Linked DNA regions of Struthio camelus. The protein of the gene in region 1 interacts with the protein of each later gene in a pairwise test. Links are inferred from orthologs where the notes say so. Each region holds a gene or a part of one and is shown in the gene's direction. Other genes may lie near its edges.

Evidence for each region.
Region 2: the proteins of NUDT21 (region 1) and CEP126 interact in a two-hybrid assay, tested with the Homo sapiens proteins (2 studies listed by BioGRID and IntAct). The link is inferred for Struthio camelus from reciprocal best matches to the Homo sapiens genes NUDT21 and CEP126.

The regions. Positions count from the first base shown.
Region 1 is NC_090951.1:22,003,882-22,011,853, reverse strand, and holds the start of NUDT21 (cleavage and polyadenylation specificity factor subunit 5), read left to right. Parts: upstream 1-4,801; 5' UTR 4,802-5,017; coding exon 5,018-5,133; intron 5,134-7,451; coding exon 7,452-7,652; intron 7,653-7,972. Other genes in the region: prolyl 3-hydroxylase OGFOD1, read right to left, coding at 1,942-2,033, 2,585-2,701, 3,551-3,651, 4,086-4,132, 4,229-4,374, 4,461-4,611. UniProt on the Homo sapiens protein: Component of the cleavage factor Im (CFIm) complex that functions as an activator of the pre-mRNA 3'-end cleavage and polyadenylation processing required for the maturation of pre-mRNA into functional mRNAs.
Region 2 is NC_090942.1:208,919,226-208,926,638, reverse strand, and holds the start of CEP126 (centrosomal protein of 126 kDa), read left to right. Parts: upstream 1-4,400; 5' UTR 4,401-4,487; coding exon 4,488-4,561; intron 4,562-5,583; coding exon 5,584-5,709; intron 5,710-7,413. Other genes in the region: ANGPTL5 (angiopoietin-related protein 5), read right to left, coding at 1,576-1,674. UniProt on the Homo sapiens protein: Participates in cytokinesis. Necessary for microtubules and mitotic spindle organization. Involved in primary cilium formation.

The DNA.
Region 1 (7,972 bases):
CAGTCGGCAAAAACTAGCTGTCGCAGGTTAACCTGGAACTCAGAAACCACATGAGGAGCTCTGGGGCACACTTACTGCCTATAGGCTGCAGCAGGCTGTACTGCCCTTATTGTGTCTTTTACTTTTTAAAAAAATGCTGCAATTCAAGCCAGCAGGAAGAGCATTTGTCTGCTACCTTTGGCTCTGGGTTAAAGGTCTACGTATCTAACAGACTAAGAGCTAGCCCTTTATGCTGGCATTTTACCTGGTCTGTGGAAAGCCCTGATTTTCACACAGTGATTACTACTGCTAGATCTGGATTTCGTCAAACTGTGCTCTGCTATAAGTTGGGCTAAATCGAACAATTTCACGCTCCAGCGTGCTGTACTGAGTAATGAAGAGAGAGCCACCCCCTTATGACTGGTTGCTAGCAGCACATAAAGACCTTGCACTGGTTTTTCAGGACAGCCTGCTGGAAGAGAAGGAAGAAACACAGCCTGTCCTGGAAAAGGTTTTGGCTTTTATTGATAGTTATAGAGCGGTAGCGGCCCTCTCCTTGCATGAATTAAAGCTTTTCTAGCTAATTTGGAATGCCTACAGTAAACCTTATATCTCTTGGGAAATGGAAAACAGAAAAATGCTCTTAAATCAAGCTTGCTACTGGAAGCCCAGCGACCTGCTCTGCTCACCAAATAATACCCAAAGCTTTATTTGATACCTGCTGAAGAAGTATACAGCATGAAGGCCAAAATCTGAAGATCTACTAGGAATTAATAGCTAAACACTCTTTGCCAAATGGCTGAGAGGGATTTAAAGCTGGCACGTGCTGTGAAGGCTTTGTATCAGTCTGACCCTCACACAGCTCTCTAATGGCAATTCGGAAGCTCTATGATTTACTGATGAAAGGATCAAAGAAATGATTTGGTGGTTCAACAGCTGCTCTGGGAATAACCAGTGAGGTGCAGGTCCTGAAGCTTTAGATTCACAGCACTCCCAGTTAAGACAGCTGAGGTTTTTAATCTCTGTGTTAACAGTATCAGAGACAGTACGCAAGACTCTGAATGGTGCTAATGCATGGGATTAAGTTTAGGTTAGTAGGAGACAGTCACAAGGCCAAGTGGAACGTGGATTTACATGACAAGAGTAAATCACTAACTGAAAACAACTAGGGCAGTGACCAAATAGTTGTTTCTGTTAATTAATTACAAGACATAAATAACAGAAAAGTAAAACCTAAGCAGTCTAGCTGCAAACATGCCTGACCTACATCACTACACTCAGTGCTCTTCTCCAACCTCCTGCTCTTTGACACTGTTTGTTACAGTTCATGGCATTCTCAAGCAAGCAGGAGTTTCAGCTTTCAGCCAGGTGTTCACATGAAGCGGTTCTGGAGATTACACTCATGCTTTTTCCAGCCATCTTCCTGTTGCGTGCCACAAAATGCTACTTAACCATATCAGCGCATCTACTGTAGGGTATTTGGTAGGTAGGGTAGGGTAACCTACCTGTAGGGTAACTGCATCTGCGTTACAGAACTGATACGGCCATATCCACATAGTCCCCTACTGGCAATGCAGCATACTAGGGAGCATTTCTGTCTACTAGTAAAGTCATGACATCCGCATGAAAAACATGAGCTAGTCCAACAAAAGCCCTCTTCTGTCACCACAGCCAAATCCACAGCAGTAGTTTGCCAGCATAGTGACAGAAGGTAGGGATGGGAATTTCTTCCCCTAAGATGATGAAGCTATACTGCCAGAATTTTGTAGTTTAAGGTTGGCTTTGTCAGTTCTAGTTCTCCTTTAAGTCATCAGCCTTTAACATAGAGCATTTAATACGAGCATTCTGACTGCCTGCGTTTCTCCCTTTCTCTTCTACCCTCCCCATCAGGCCTGTTACAATGTACAAAATGAATCACTGCAACAGAGAGGATTTAAAAAGGAACAGAATACAGATCCTTGCCTGGTGGAAGGAGACTGGAGACACTTCAAAGAAAGCCAGTGTGTTCCATGAAGGCACTAATGACTTGACGATTTGCTGCGGCTGGAAGTGTTCTGAAGAGGAAGAGAACAGGGTTTGGTTAAGATGACTTGGAACTCACTAGCAAGCGTCATTTCCCTCGGACTTTATGACACTGTGACTGATCAGACACCTGGCTGTAAAGGAGGGAACTTAGAGCAAGAGATTGATGAGGAACCGGTGGACTTCTGTCGCTGGAAGTTATCTCCATCGCTTAAAAAATTTCCTAGCACAGTTACTGGTGTTGCCTCTATCCTGCCTCCATCTCTGTGCCCTGCAAAAAAAAGTGGATAAAAGAAAGGATTCCCCTCTTTATTAGCTTCTCCTTTTCCTCAGCTGTCACCCATTACCATAGTCTGGAAAGACTGCTACAGCCCATCTCTTTCTAAAGTGCAAATTTTACCAATACATAAGCTCCCTTGGACTGAGCAAAATCTTCCTTGTATCTAAAGTGCAAATTTTACCAATACATAAGCTCCCTTGGACTGAGCAAAATCTTCCTTGTACCATCTGAGAGGAGAGTTGCTGCAAAGGCACCTAAGCTTCATCTTTTTCAGCTATCAGAGGCTGAGGAGCAAGCTCTCACCATCTGTACTATAAAAGTCCAGCGTCCCTCCATCGCTCTTCTCCCACGGTGGCACGAGGTACAGGATGAAGGCAATTCTCCGACCTTCCAGCTCATCATCATGGCACAGCAGGACATCTGCAATTACACACATTTTCCTACAGTAGTGCCTTTCTAGCGTGTGCACTGATTTATTTCAGTGGCTGCTTCCTAGCTTTGCCCTTGCAAGGACATAACAGGAAGAAATATGCCCTTCCCAAGAACTGCATCTTTGCTTGTCTGCATCACTAATCCAGAGAGAATAACGTTTGTGAGATTTCATTACGACTGATGGATAAGCCCGCTCTGAAGGTAGAGGCGGTTAAGCCCCTCCTTACCCACTCCTCTGCTGCTGTCACTGGGCACAGCAGGAAGAGATCCTTAAGTTTATCAGTTAGTCAAACTCTTATTCTTGAATGCACAGCTGCCCTTTGAGGAGGTTTGTTGCTGGGCTGGGGGTAGGGCAGGAACAGAAAAGCTGGACCAGCAACTGGTTAGGCAAAGAGACTTTAAAAAAGCAGAATTAACAAAAGTTAATTTTACATGACTAAAAGGCTATTACAGTTGTAACCAGTTTCTGGACTCTCTATGATGACATTTTAGCACTTCACAAACTAAACTGTGGCATTTACAACCTGAACACATCATCCCTTTGTGTCCAGGAAGTTCGACAGCAAACTTTGGCTGAACGTCTCCAGAAAGGTTGGAGGCTTGCTACAAAACTGGGCCCAGCTAAAGCTCTCAGCAGCATGATTACAACAATCATTTTTCCATAATTTAGACTTGGTTTGTTTCTTGTTGGAGACTCTGATCTGCTGGGTGATAGCTGCTAGGACCTCCTAGGACTGGGAAAGGGTGGTGGTGGGCTTTGTAATTATGTCTTCTCCTCAAATATAGTTTTATGCACACCCAGGGAAGCTTTGGGGAAAGGACTGCTTACTGACTGACCGGTATATTCGTATTTAGCGCAGGATAGGTCGATCGTTGGCTCCAGTTCGATCTGGGTCACAGCAGAAAGCCACGCTCGGAATTCTTCACACAGAGCGTGCCTGGGAAGATGAGCACAAGGTAAGCATCCTCCTGAGTTACAAAGCACGTTACCAGTGACATACAGCCTAAAACTACTTTTATTATTAGCTCTCCTCCAACTATTTAAACAGTTGAAGCTACTACTCCTGCCAGAGGTACCATATATCTGAAAAACCCTACGGGAGTTGGCCAGGAAAAGTCTAGCTTTCACAGCATCACTCACAGTGACGAAGCAATACATGCAGAATGAGTTGTAAGGGACACGGATAAACGTTTCGGGGTGATAAATAACCAAGAGATGAGGGTTAACGCTGGAATCGGAGCACTGGGCTGAGAAGAAAACGCTCAGCTGCGTTTAGGGCCCTGTCCTGTGCAAAGCAGATGCTGCCCCTCCGGGCCGCTTCCCGGCAGGGCACCCTGCCCCTTCCACCACGCCGGGGGGGGGGGGCCGCACCTCAGCGCGGCGACGTGGGGCTCCGGCCTCCCGCGCAGCTCCTCGGACTGCCGCGGCCCATGGAAGAGAAGAAGGGGCGGGGGGGGGGCGGTTAGCGGCGGCGGAGCGGCGGCGCGGCGCGGCGCGGCGCGGAGCGGGCCCACCTGCCGCAGCGACAGCAGGTCGTTGCGCCGCCCGCGGAAGCCGAGGCCCAGCAGCTCGTCGCGCAGCGCCGCCGCGAAGGCCGGGCCCGCCAGGAAGCCGGGGATCAGGCCGTGCCGGAACGGGGCCGGCTCCAGCGCCGCCGCCTCTGCCAACAAAGAGCCGCCCGTGAGCGGGGCCGCCGCCGCCGCCGCGGGTGGACGGGACGGGACGGCGGTGGCGGGCGCGCCGTACCGTGGCGGAGCGGCTCCCCGCGGCGCCAGGCCGCCGCCGCCCGCTCCCGCAGCGCCGCGTCGCCGAGGGCGGCGCTCAGCTCGGCGCGCGCCCCCCGCTTCTCCCGCTTCTTCGCCGGCCCCGCCGCCGCCACGCGCCGCTTGGCGCTCATGCCCGCTGCCGCCTGACACCGCCCCCGCCAGACTACAACTCCCAGGCGCCCCCGCGCCGCCCTCCGGGCCAATCGGGGCGCGCGGCGCGCGGGGGGGGCGGGCGCCGGCGCGACGTTCCGCTGGCCAATGAGAAAGAGGGGGAAGGGCGGTGCGCGGCCCCCAAAAGCCAGTGAGGAAGCAGTGGGCGGTGCCGCTCGCTGTGGCTGGTGAGTCGCTGGAGGGGCGCAGAGCGGCTCCGCTCTATGGTCGGCTCGGGCGGAAGTGGGGCTGGGCGGTTCCGGCGAGGCGGCGCGCGGAGGGTGTGTGAGGCCCGGCGGGGAGGTTAATGGCGGACGGGGTTCCCGCCGCCGAGCAGTGACCCGCGCCCTCGCCGCCGCCCTCGCTCCGGCCCGGCCCGGCGCCGCCATGTCCGTGGTGCCGCCTAACCGCTCGCAGACCGGCTGGCCCCGCGGAGTGAACCAGTTCGGGAACAAGTACATCCAGCAGACGAAGCCGCTCACGCTGGAGAGGACCATCAACCTGTGAGCGCCGCCGCCGGGCCTCCGGGGCCGCCCTGGGCCCTCCCCGCGGCTCGCGAGCCCCTTCCCCGCTGCGCCAGCAGCCGCGGGGCCGCCCTTGGGAGGGTGCGGGGGAGCGGGAGCCTCCGCCGGGCAGCCGCTGCCTGGCTCGGCCGCAGGGCCCCGGGGAGCGCCGGCGTCTGCGCCGTGTTGGCCCTCGGAAAAGCTGCCCCCTGCCAGGCTTAAAACACGCAGAAAGCGGCCGCTTTTTGCGCAGCGTGCCGTGACGCTGCGGAGCTCCGTGCCCAGGGATGCTGGGGATACTGAAGGCTTACCTGTGGTCAGGGGAACGTGAAGCGCCTTTATGAAGTTGCTCTGAGGGTGACGAACTACATATAAAAACGAAAATCTGACTCGGGAAGCGTACAAGCTGTGACTAACAAAGTTGGGGAGTACTGTGGGTGGCACGTATGCTTCTCTCTTCACGTAGCCTTCCATAGGCATCTATCTACCTTTGGCTGCAGGGAGGAAAAATAGGCTGCTGGCCTAGGGAGCCTTCGGGCTTACCCATTGTAGCCAATAGTCTGTGTTTAGGTGTGCCAGGTGTTTGCTGACCGTGTAGCACAGGTATTTTAACTTATATCTAAGGTGTTTGCTTCCACAAGAAACACGGGGTTTCTATTGTAGTTACAAGCTATCTGCTAAAAGTATTTGCTTACTTTATGTGAGAAGTCATGTACTTCAGCTAGCTTTTTACAGTAAGCTCTGATATTTCTCTTGATAAGTATGTTTATCAAGTTGCAAAGCCAGCAACAAATGTTGACTACAGTAGTCAATACTCGATTTAGCTATCCATCAGAGAAGATGTATGTATTGTTTAGTATAGCTGAGCTTATTCCCAGTTAGAGCTAATGGTGTTGTGGAAGTTCAGATATCAACTTTAGAAACTGGAGTTTTTTTAATGCCCTTTTCTGAGAGGGAAAAAAAATCAGCAAAAGTTATCAGCCGCAACTTTTTTTAACAGGCTAAAAATGTTGAGGTACCAATGACTGCTAGTGTGATCTGTATCTTTTTTCTGTGGGAAAAAGTGAGACTACCTATTTTGGAGACTATAGAATGGAAATTAATAAAAAAAGAAATGGAGACAATTCTAACTGTAAGTGAAAAGGCGGAAGGGGGAAAATGCTTGCTAATAAAGGTATCTTTAGTTAGAAAATCATTTGTGTTGGGTCATTGTAGAGCTCATTTCACTTACAGTTTAGAACTGAAACTGGCTTGTGATTTCTGCATTGTGAAGAGTAGAGAAAGCTTGGTTTGGGGGGGAGGGGAGTGCTTCTTAGGTTGGATGTGACTCTTTGAAGACCAAATGTTGAGGGGGAAAGCGCAAGCAGAGGCTCATTCCAAAGTAAATGTCCCACATGAAATCAGCCATTAACTCAGTCAAGGAAGTTGCTGTATGCCTCAAGTTAATAAAACTGTTGATATGCGCTACTGTTCTTTTGCCCTGAACCCCTTTTCCTCACCCTTTTTACCTAATATGATGATGCTGTCTTCCCACCAACCCTCCACCTTCCAGGCCTCCTACTGTCGTATCTGTTACTTGGTTTTAGTTGTACAGTAACTTTTCCTGTTTACCCTCTGTTTTTTGCAGGACTCCAGTTTTTTGCTCAAGTTCTTTTTCCAGTTCTTTTATCTACTCCGTCCCTTTTCCCTGGAGAAATCTTGAGGTTTCCACTGTATCATCACTAGAGAATCCAAAGGTCCAATCCCTAGCTCAGTAAAGTGACCTGCTCAAACTCTTGTTTTTACTCCAGGCGTTGGCCCTGCACTTAAGCACTCGGCATTACTTGTCCTCTCTGATCCAGCTGTCAGATTTCCCACTTCAGAACAAAACCACATTTAACAGTTAGTTCTCTGGCTCTTGGCTCCTGCCCTGCAGAAAAACTGTCCTATGCAACCTCCTTCTCTTCTTTTGCCCTCCTCCCAGTTACTCTAGGAGCCTCAAAGTCCTTCTCCTTTGCAGTGTGGAGATCAAAGAGAGGCTGTTAAATAGCAGTTGCTGCTGGTTCTTCTGTGGTGCTTTGTCCCCTTCTTTTGAATCAGTGCCGTGACAGCCTGTCAGTCAGCATAACTTTCTGTACTTCTATATCATAGTGCAAGTCTCTGTGTGATGTGATCCACATAAATCAACTTGCCAACAAAAACTTCTAGTCTGCTGCTATGAACCAGCTACTTTTCACTTGAGTACAGATGGTTCTGCCTCTGGATGAATGCTGTGTCATAATAGCGCATGTGGTTTTAACTTGAATTTCTTGTCACGTAGTAACCCTTTTTCCTTGTAGGTATCCTCTTACGAATTATACGTTCGGTACAAAGGAACCCCTCTATGAGAAGGACAGCTCAGTGGCAGCTCGGTTTCAACGCATGAGGGAAGAATTTGACAAGATTGGCATGAGGCGGACAGTGGAAGGGGTTCTGATTGTGCACGAGCACAGGCTGCCCCATGTGTTGTTACTGCAGCTGGGTACAACTTTTTTCAAGCTGTAAGTATCTACTCCTTGACCAACTTTTTAGTGCGACTTTAAAGTCGCAAAGCACTAAGTGGGTAGATTAGAGGTTAAAGTGTGACTAGCTCTGTCAGAGGTTTTGAATGTTTGATTCACTTGTTACAAAGCCTAAAAATATTTTGAATGGTGAGGTTTTCTCGTAAAAAGTATTTTTGTCTGTGCTCACGTAGCTTTGAACCAACTGGGAGTCTTATGCTGTGTCACAATAGAGGGTTCCTATTTAAAACTCGTTATCAGAACTTTGTGCTTTATCCCTGCATTGCGAAAGCTGTGTTATGTTTAAATATACTTATGCT
Region 2 (7,413 bases), on another chromosome or scaffold:
GCTCTATCAAGCAATAATTGAGAGAGCTAAGATTACACAGCTGCAGGACTAACTCCCGTTAGATGTCTTCTCCTTAGCCATAACTCACAAGAGCATGTCACAGGTAAAGAATAACCTCTATAAGTTTTGAAAATACTACCAACATTTCTGAAAAAGTATTGTACCTCTGAGCACTGTAAACTGGAGGCCTGAAATGCAAACACTTGCATTTAGGAAGCTCACATTTTGAGGATCACCATACCCAACAGACATCTCAAAGGCTAACAAAGTTATTTTCACTGGAAAGGAGCAGGCTTTTGCATTTACCACATATTATCAAAACAGTTCCACTGTAAATATTTGCACCTGTTATTAAGCTATGCACACAAGTCCTCCCAAGCAGATTTGCCGACAAACCGAACATTTGAAAAATATCTTAAAGGCTTTTGTAGAGGAAAGAACAAAGGGACATTATTCAGAGGGATACCACCAGGTGAAACGCTAATAATAAAAACAATGGCATAAGCAGTTTCAAACTGCTACATCTCTAAATGTTATTTTAAAATAATATTTGCATATCTTAATGTTTTTTTTCTTCCACGGTGCCATGTGACAAACCTGTGTAAGAAATAAGGGAATGTCCCTGACTCATCACATAAACAAATGCTAAAAGTAATTCCTGAAATATGTGTCATCACAGAAAGCATTATGAAACATATTTTGATGTGAGTCTCTGTGCTTTAATTGCATGATCTTAGCACTGTACACTGTTTGCACACAGTATTTTGAAATGTAAATAGGACCCTTGAAAACATACAGATCTTCAAAAAAAGAAAACTTATTTAGACTCGATTGCATCTTTAACATACTTGTTCTCATTTCCTGCTTCAGATTTCTCTTTCTGGTATTGGCACTACACTGGTACAGCACTGAACAGTTCTTTCCTGATTTTTGCTTTTAAAAAGTGAAAGTAAAAATTACAGAAAAATGTTAACAAACAGATTTTACAAAAAATTGTCTGAATTATTAATTTAATTGCATCCTGTTTCTCAAATAAATGCTAGAGAATTTAAAGAGTATGTTTCTCCAAGTTTGAAATAAGTACAAAATAAAGGAAGGAAATTTCTGTAAGAGTTATAAATAAATCATTTGAAACTTATAAATAGATCGCTTTATCACAGCTACTCACCAGATGTTCAATTAAATACTGTCAAGCAAATATTTTAAATCAACATTTATTTTGTTAAGGAGCAGATATGAAACAGACAATTAAATCTGACCGCAGCAATACAAATAAAAACCGTGAAACTGCCAAAGACAACAGAGTTGCTCTGCATTTACGCTGATGCAAGTGAGATAAAAATCTGGCCCTACCAGCTGAGCTGTGAATGAAAGACATTAAGACAAAAACGTTCTTCTCCTTATACACAGAATTGCTACAATCTCAATGCAGCTATATGAAAATACCTGATTCTTCTATATTTTCATATCTACCCCGAATAAAGCAACCTACATTTTAAACACACCTGTCACTGTTCTCAGAAACTATTCAGTTACCTTCATTATCTTAGCTAACAATATAATTGAAAATCTTACCTTGGAGGAACAAGGTTTGACATTACTTATCACAGTCTCTCCCCAGCTGAAGAAAAAAATGCTGAGACAAACAAATGAAGTTACCCGAAAGGGGATCATCTTTTACTTGAAGAAATGCAAACGCTTTGACGGGTTTTGAATTTCTGTGGAAAGAACTGCACACTCCGAAGCCCTGAGCTAACTATTTGGGAATGTGTACAGCACAAAGAGCAGCCAACACACCACTTCTTTAATGCCTGGGTTTAATAAAATGCATTCCACTAGATTTTATATACTGCATTGCTTTTTACCTGAGAGAAGTTACTGCTTATTATCTTTATATGACTCACACGAGCGTATAAGTATTTTTATTGTGATAAGACTGTGGCAGATCTTGTTAAATGCTATTTTTGAGCATTGGTATATATGTATGTTTGTACTGAATCTGGGCAAGTCTGGGCTACTTGAAAGGAAAAAGTGTTAATCACTGTTTTCATCTTTTTGCAAAGGTTTTTGTAACTAAAATGAAGCTGTTTACACTTGTCTGGTGGTAATGCACTAGATCCAGCTGTGGGGCAATTTCAGAATATGCCTTAAAAGCAAATTCCTTACAGAAAACTGAAAAATATTACTTTAAAATAATAGTTTGTGTTATGTTGAAGATTGTTTACACATGGGACAAAAAAAATCTTTTTTTAATCTAATGTTTTCTTTGGAAATGAATATCAAAAAGGTATGGAGCACCTGCAGCTGGTTTCCTCATGAGTGGAGCACATTCAGCTGCTGGTGAAATTACTAACAACTTTGTTTTTTTGATATCTTACAAAATCCAATTTTTAATTTGTTCTAACGTACTTCATAGCATGTTATATTTTTCCAAAATAAGAAACACGAGAATGTAACTAGTGCACCGACTGATGCTCTTGTAAAAAGATGTAGTCTATGATCCAAAAATACAGTCTCTGACAAGGAGGTAAGAAAGTGAAAAGATTTCATGGCTGCCCATATATGACATTAAGGAGGAAATAACAGTTTTTATTCTTCTTTTTATACACAGAACTAAGAAAAGGAGCCAAATGTTAAAAAGTAGCACTAAAAAAGATCAGAACTTTGACTGAACTTCTTATCTCTCCTCACCCCATGCAGTGGCCTTCAGTTAACCTGAAGCTTGGAGGAAAGTAAGATATGAAGTAAAGGGCTAAAGCAGATTAATCCCCCCTGGACCAAAAGGAAAGAAAACGTGTTTCTGCAGCAGCATAGTTATGTTCCAGCCTTAAGATTTGTAATCATGTCAAAATCTGTCCCATAAAGATTTAGGAACTGATCTTCATCCTTCACTGGAATATCAGTCTGTAGCCCATATTAAAATTTATGAAACTTCTTTGAAGTCAGTTGCCAGAGTAAGACCTTCTGTTTTGTAACGGCATGAGATCAGGCTGCTTCCTGTCCCAGAATAATCATACAGTTATAGAATATATGGTCCTCAGCTAGCCACCTTCTCATCCCACAAACTGAAAGATCTAAGATCTTTCACCAGGAGAAGACAGTTAATAAATCTAAAAGAGAGTTATGAAGAAGTAAAAAAGTTAAAAAAAAAAGACTAGAAGATATGTAAAGACTATTTTTAATCCTAAACTTCAGAAGGTGGGAGTTGATGCTGCACACCATCAAAACTTGCAGAAAGTCTAAAGAAGTCCCAGTCCTGCCAGGCTGGAGATGACTATGATCTTTCCAGGTGTGACGTGGGCTCAAACTCCACAGTAGTTTCGCAGCTCCACTACAGTCCTGTCTGGGTGGATCAGGTCTTGATCCTGAGAAAGCCTTCAACCGCATCCTAAATGAAGCAGTGCAAAGTGGGTCTTAAAAAGTTTACGTAGGTTGAAAAGAACAGGAAAAGTACCACGTGGAGGAAATAGCAGCGACTAGGCTTCTACCTGCGACACTTAATTCAATTGGTTGGAAAGGAGAATTTGGGGCTGGTGTTCTGAACTGGAGATGAAAGGCTTCCATTTCAGGGTTTTCCTCTCAACTATAAAACTGGGATGCTATAAACATTAAGCATGTTCGGTAATCTGAGCCTCGTATAAAATGGTAATAGTAACACCTACCTCACAAGCTGCATTAAAAATATTTGTTGGGGGGCTGTGAAAAAAGCGTTTTACAAGTGTAGAATACTATTTTTACCCTTCTAGTCAAAGACATAGAACAGCTGCACTCTTTGAAAAAGAGAGGAATTGGTGCAAACTCAAATAGAACAGCCAAGAAACGTCTCGCCAGGAAATCGCCAAGGCATTTAGCCTTGTGCTGACAACTCATCCCAGGCATGGCAATATCCCAGGACAACACACCCTGCTTTGCCTGAAAACAAAAATGCAGTGTTTCATTCTTTCAGAGCAAATTACTTTTTTGCTTTGCGTGAGTTTTTTAACTCATTTTCACACACATAGTTTAATTTTTTTATTGCTATTTCTGCACCCCGTTTAAAAAAAAAAAAAAACCTTATGTTGTGAATTCCAAGCCACAGCCTCAAGTAACAGATCTAAGACGCGTCCACACGGAGCTCCGCACACCCACAAACGGCAGCGGGGCCAGGAAGGGGTTTCATTTGTCCTGCAAAACTACTTAGAAATGTGTTTACTACGATATCAGTTAAAAACACAACAAAATAAAGCAAATCCTGCTCTTTGTGAACGGAATGCAGGACGGGGGACGTGGCGGGAGGCGGCGCGGCGCGGCGCCTCGCCGCTGCCGCTCTGCAGGCCGCTGTGGCGACACCGCCCCGACAGGGCGCGAGCCGCCCTGAGGCCCCGCCCCTCCGCCTAGGCCCCGCCCCCGCGCGTTGCCAAGGCAGCGGCGTCCCTGGGTCCCGAGATGGCGGCGCGGGCGGGCCGCGCTCGGCCCTGACCAGCGGGGCCCCGGCCCCGCGCCGCTGAATGGAGCCTGGCGGGAAGGGCCGAAACCTCCCTGGCGGCCGCCGGGACTTCGCGGTTCGCAGTGGGGCCTCCGCGTATCCTTCCGCGTACGCGGGCGGGCAGCGTGGGGCACGGCCGCCCCGCGGAGGGGGCAGGCCGCGCGGGGGATGGCGAGCTCTGTGGGGTGCCCCGTGGGGGGCAGGGGCGTGACAGAATCAGTTGAAAACGTTGAACCTGATGATCTCTCTCACCCTGACGCTCGTAAACCAAGGAGGCGGAGCGCCGCTGTCGGGGTGGTGGCTGGTGAAACAGAAATTCTGTCTGTCAGGTATTGCTTCGGTGATGACTTGAAGGAGAGCTCGTTGTACGTTATTATCTTTTAGACTACCACAGAAAAGTTGAGTGACAGTCCTCTTAGCATTTTTTTTTATTTTTCTTCTTGAAGATACTGCCAGTTGGAAAGCATATTTTCCATCCTAATTCCAGAATCCCTATTTTCTTACTTGGATGTGAGTAATGATTTAAGTGATACTGATAAAAGTTCTAAGCTCTGCCTGTACTTACAGTAAGGAGAGCTGTTTTATCTAGTGGTATGAATGCATTTCAGCTAATCCCTTAGAACTGGGGAGGGCTCTGTATGCAGACAGACTTTCCCTGTGATAAATGTGTCCGTATGTCACAGATTTAGATAATAATATGCTCTAGAGGTCCCTGCTTGGGCAGGGAGGTTGGGCTAGATGATCTCCAGAGGTCCCTTCCAACCTAAACGATTCTGTGATAACAGAAAGATGTATCATCAAATAAACCAAAGAAAGTGAGATTTCATCAGCTGATATCATAAATGTTGCATGCAAAGCCTCTGGTGTTTGTTAAAGTCACTGTAAATAGTAAGATGCAATTAAACTTGTTCTGGATGAACAAGAAGTAAAGTACTACCATAGTATATATTTATGGGACCAGCTGTTTTATAATTAGTTGAAAAGCATAGTGACATTTGGTATCTCATGATTAAAGGTTGCCCTTTCCCAAAGAGGTACATAATAAATCCTCAGTGACATTATACCTTTTTCTGAGATGTTTGATACAGATGTTTTCATTATCCTTAGCATGATACTAGGGATAGAGCTTTAAAGTTTCATTGTGAACGGGATTTAGAAGAAGAACGTCAGGCACTGAAAGAAGATCAAAAAACACATCGGAGGAGGGCACAAAAATTTTCCATAGAGACAAATAGAAGAAGGAAGTAAGTAAATAAGGTTCTTTTGGCAGGAGACTGTAAAGAATGGAGTCAAAGCTTTGAGACAGCTGAATATATTTCTACTGTTTGCATGTTCAGATAGTCTGTTAAATAGTGTCACTGTTTTGTTCTGAAAGAGTCTAGGCCTTAAAGTTTCACTAATCTAATTTCTTGCTATAGAACATACAAAAAGCACAATATTCAGAGTTACTGAATTACTTCTTGGAAACTTCCTGTAGGCACCCTTTTATTGTTTAGAATAAAAGTAAGCAGTGCTTTCATTTTGTGCCTCTGACCTGCATTTCTAGTATTTTCTTCAATTTTTGTATTAGCTTCAGTGAGTGTATAATAATGCAGATACACCATAAGAATAAGCGGGCAGGAAGTCTCCCGTTACCATTGTCTACTGAAGTGTATGCACTTTTAGTTGTGTGACTCTCCTATGTGGTGAGCCTTTGTACACCCACTTCCCAATAAACTCAAAATTAAGGCTTTCTAGTACCAAAATATATTTGTAATAAAGTTTTATTTTAAAGGAAGCTTTGAATGCTCTGCCTTTCTACATACATGATAAATGCAAAGCGATGAAATACTCTATGACAAATGGATCAAATAAACTACATCCTGAGACATTTTGGTGAAGTGCGGTAAACAGTGTAACGGGCAGGGAGGGATCTTCCCAGGCACTCAGAAGATACTGTCACATAGACCTAGAAACTAGGCTGTGTGTGTAGCGGAGACAGAAGGGTTCCCCTCTGAGACAGTTCAGAGCGAACCCGCAGCCTCAAAGCTGTTTCCTCTGCCTTGTGTTGACTCTGAAATGCTCGTCCACTGCAGTTCCATGTCAGATGATTTCTGTTACACAATGTTTACAGTTGAAATATATTGATAACTCAGAACAGAAGCAATAGATATTGTTTATACAGCCCTTATAGCTTGACAATGGCTTGATACAGTGTGCTGTCAGCAAATATTTTAAAATATAAAGAAAAATGGAGGAGGAAGTATAATCACCTGGGACTGATTAAAGACAGTGTGTGACCTGCAGCTTTTGCAGATAGTAATAAGCTGAGTCTTGGCTGAAAGATAAAATATCTTAGTTCTCTGAAATGGTGCTGCTGTAACACCACGCACCTGAAATGGATGCTGTTTATCATATTACTGGTCTTGAAATACTATACTCCAATGTAAAAGCAAACACTAGCCAGTCTGCATATTTTTGCTGGACTAGTATAATCAAAACTAATACTCACGGATATATAAATACATTTCCACATGAATTTCATTGTAGCCTTAGGAAACACAGTATAAATCTAAGTTACGCAGGTGAGCCAGTTAAAATTTTAGGTGTGGTAATCATAAAATGAAATTGTTTCCATTTGTGATGATTGAGAATGACATAATAGCATAACTACAAGCATAATAAGCAGTTTAGATGGAAGTGTGTCATGATGAGTCTCCCCCTAATAACTGAAAATGAGTTGTCTAAAGTTAGAAAGATAGTAAGTGTATACAGTGTTAATAACTTGTGAAACAAAATTCAAAATTAAGGTTCACTGCATATATAAAAGAAAGCAATTTGGAAATAAAAAGTTGATTGATACTGAATATTTTTTCCCAGACAATTATGTAGATAGGAGGTGATTGATCTCCTAATGGAACAGCCATCAAGTCATGCCTCAGATCTGGGCATGAGCCAAGATCCATTAT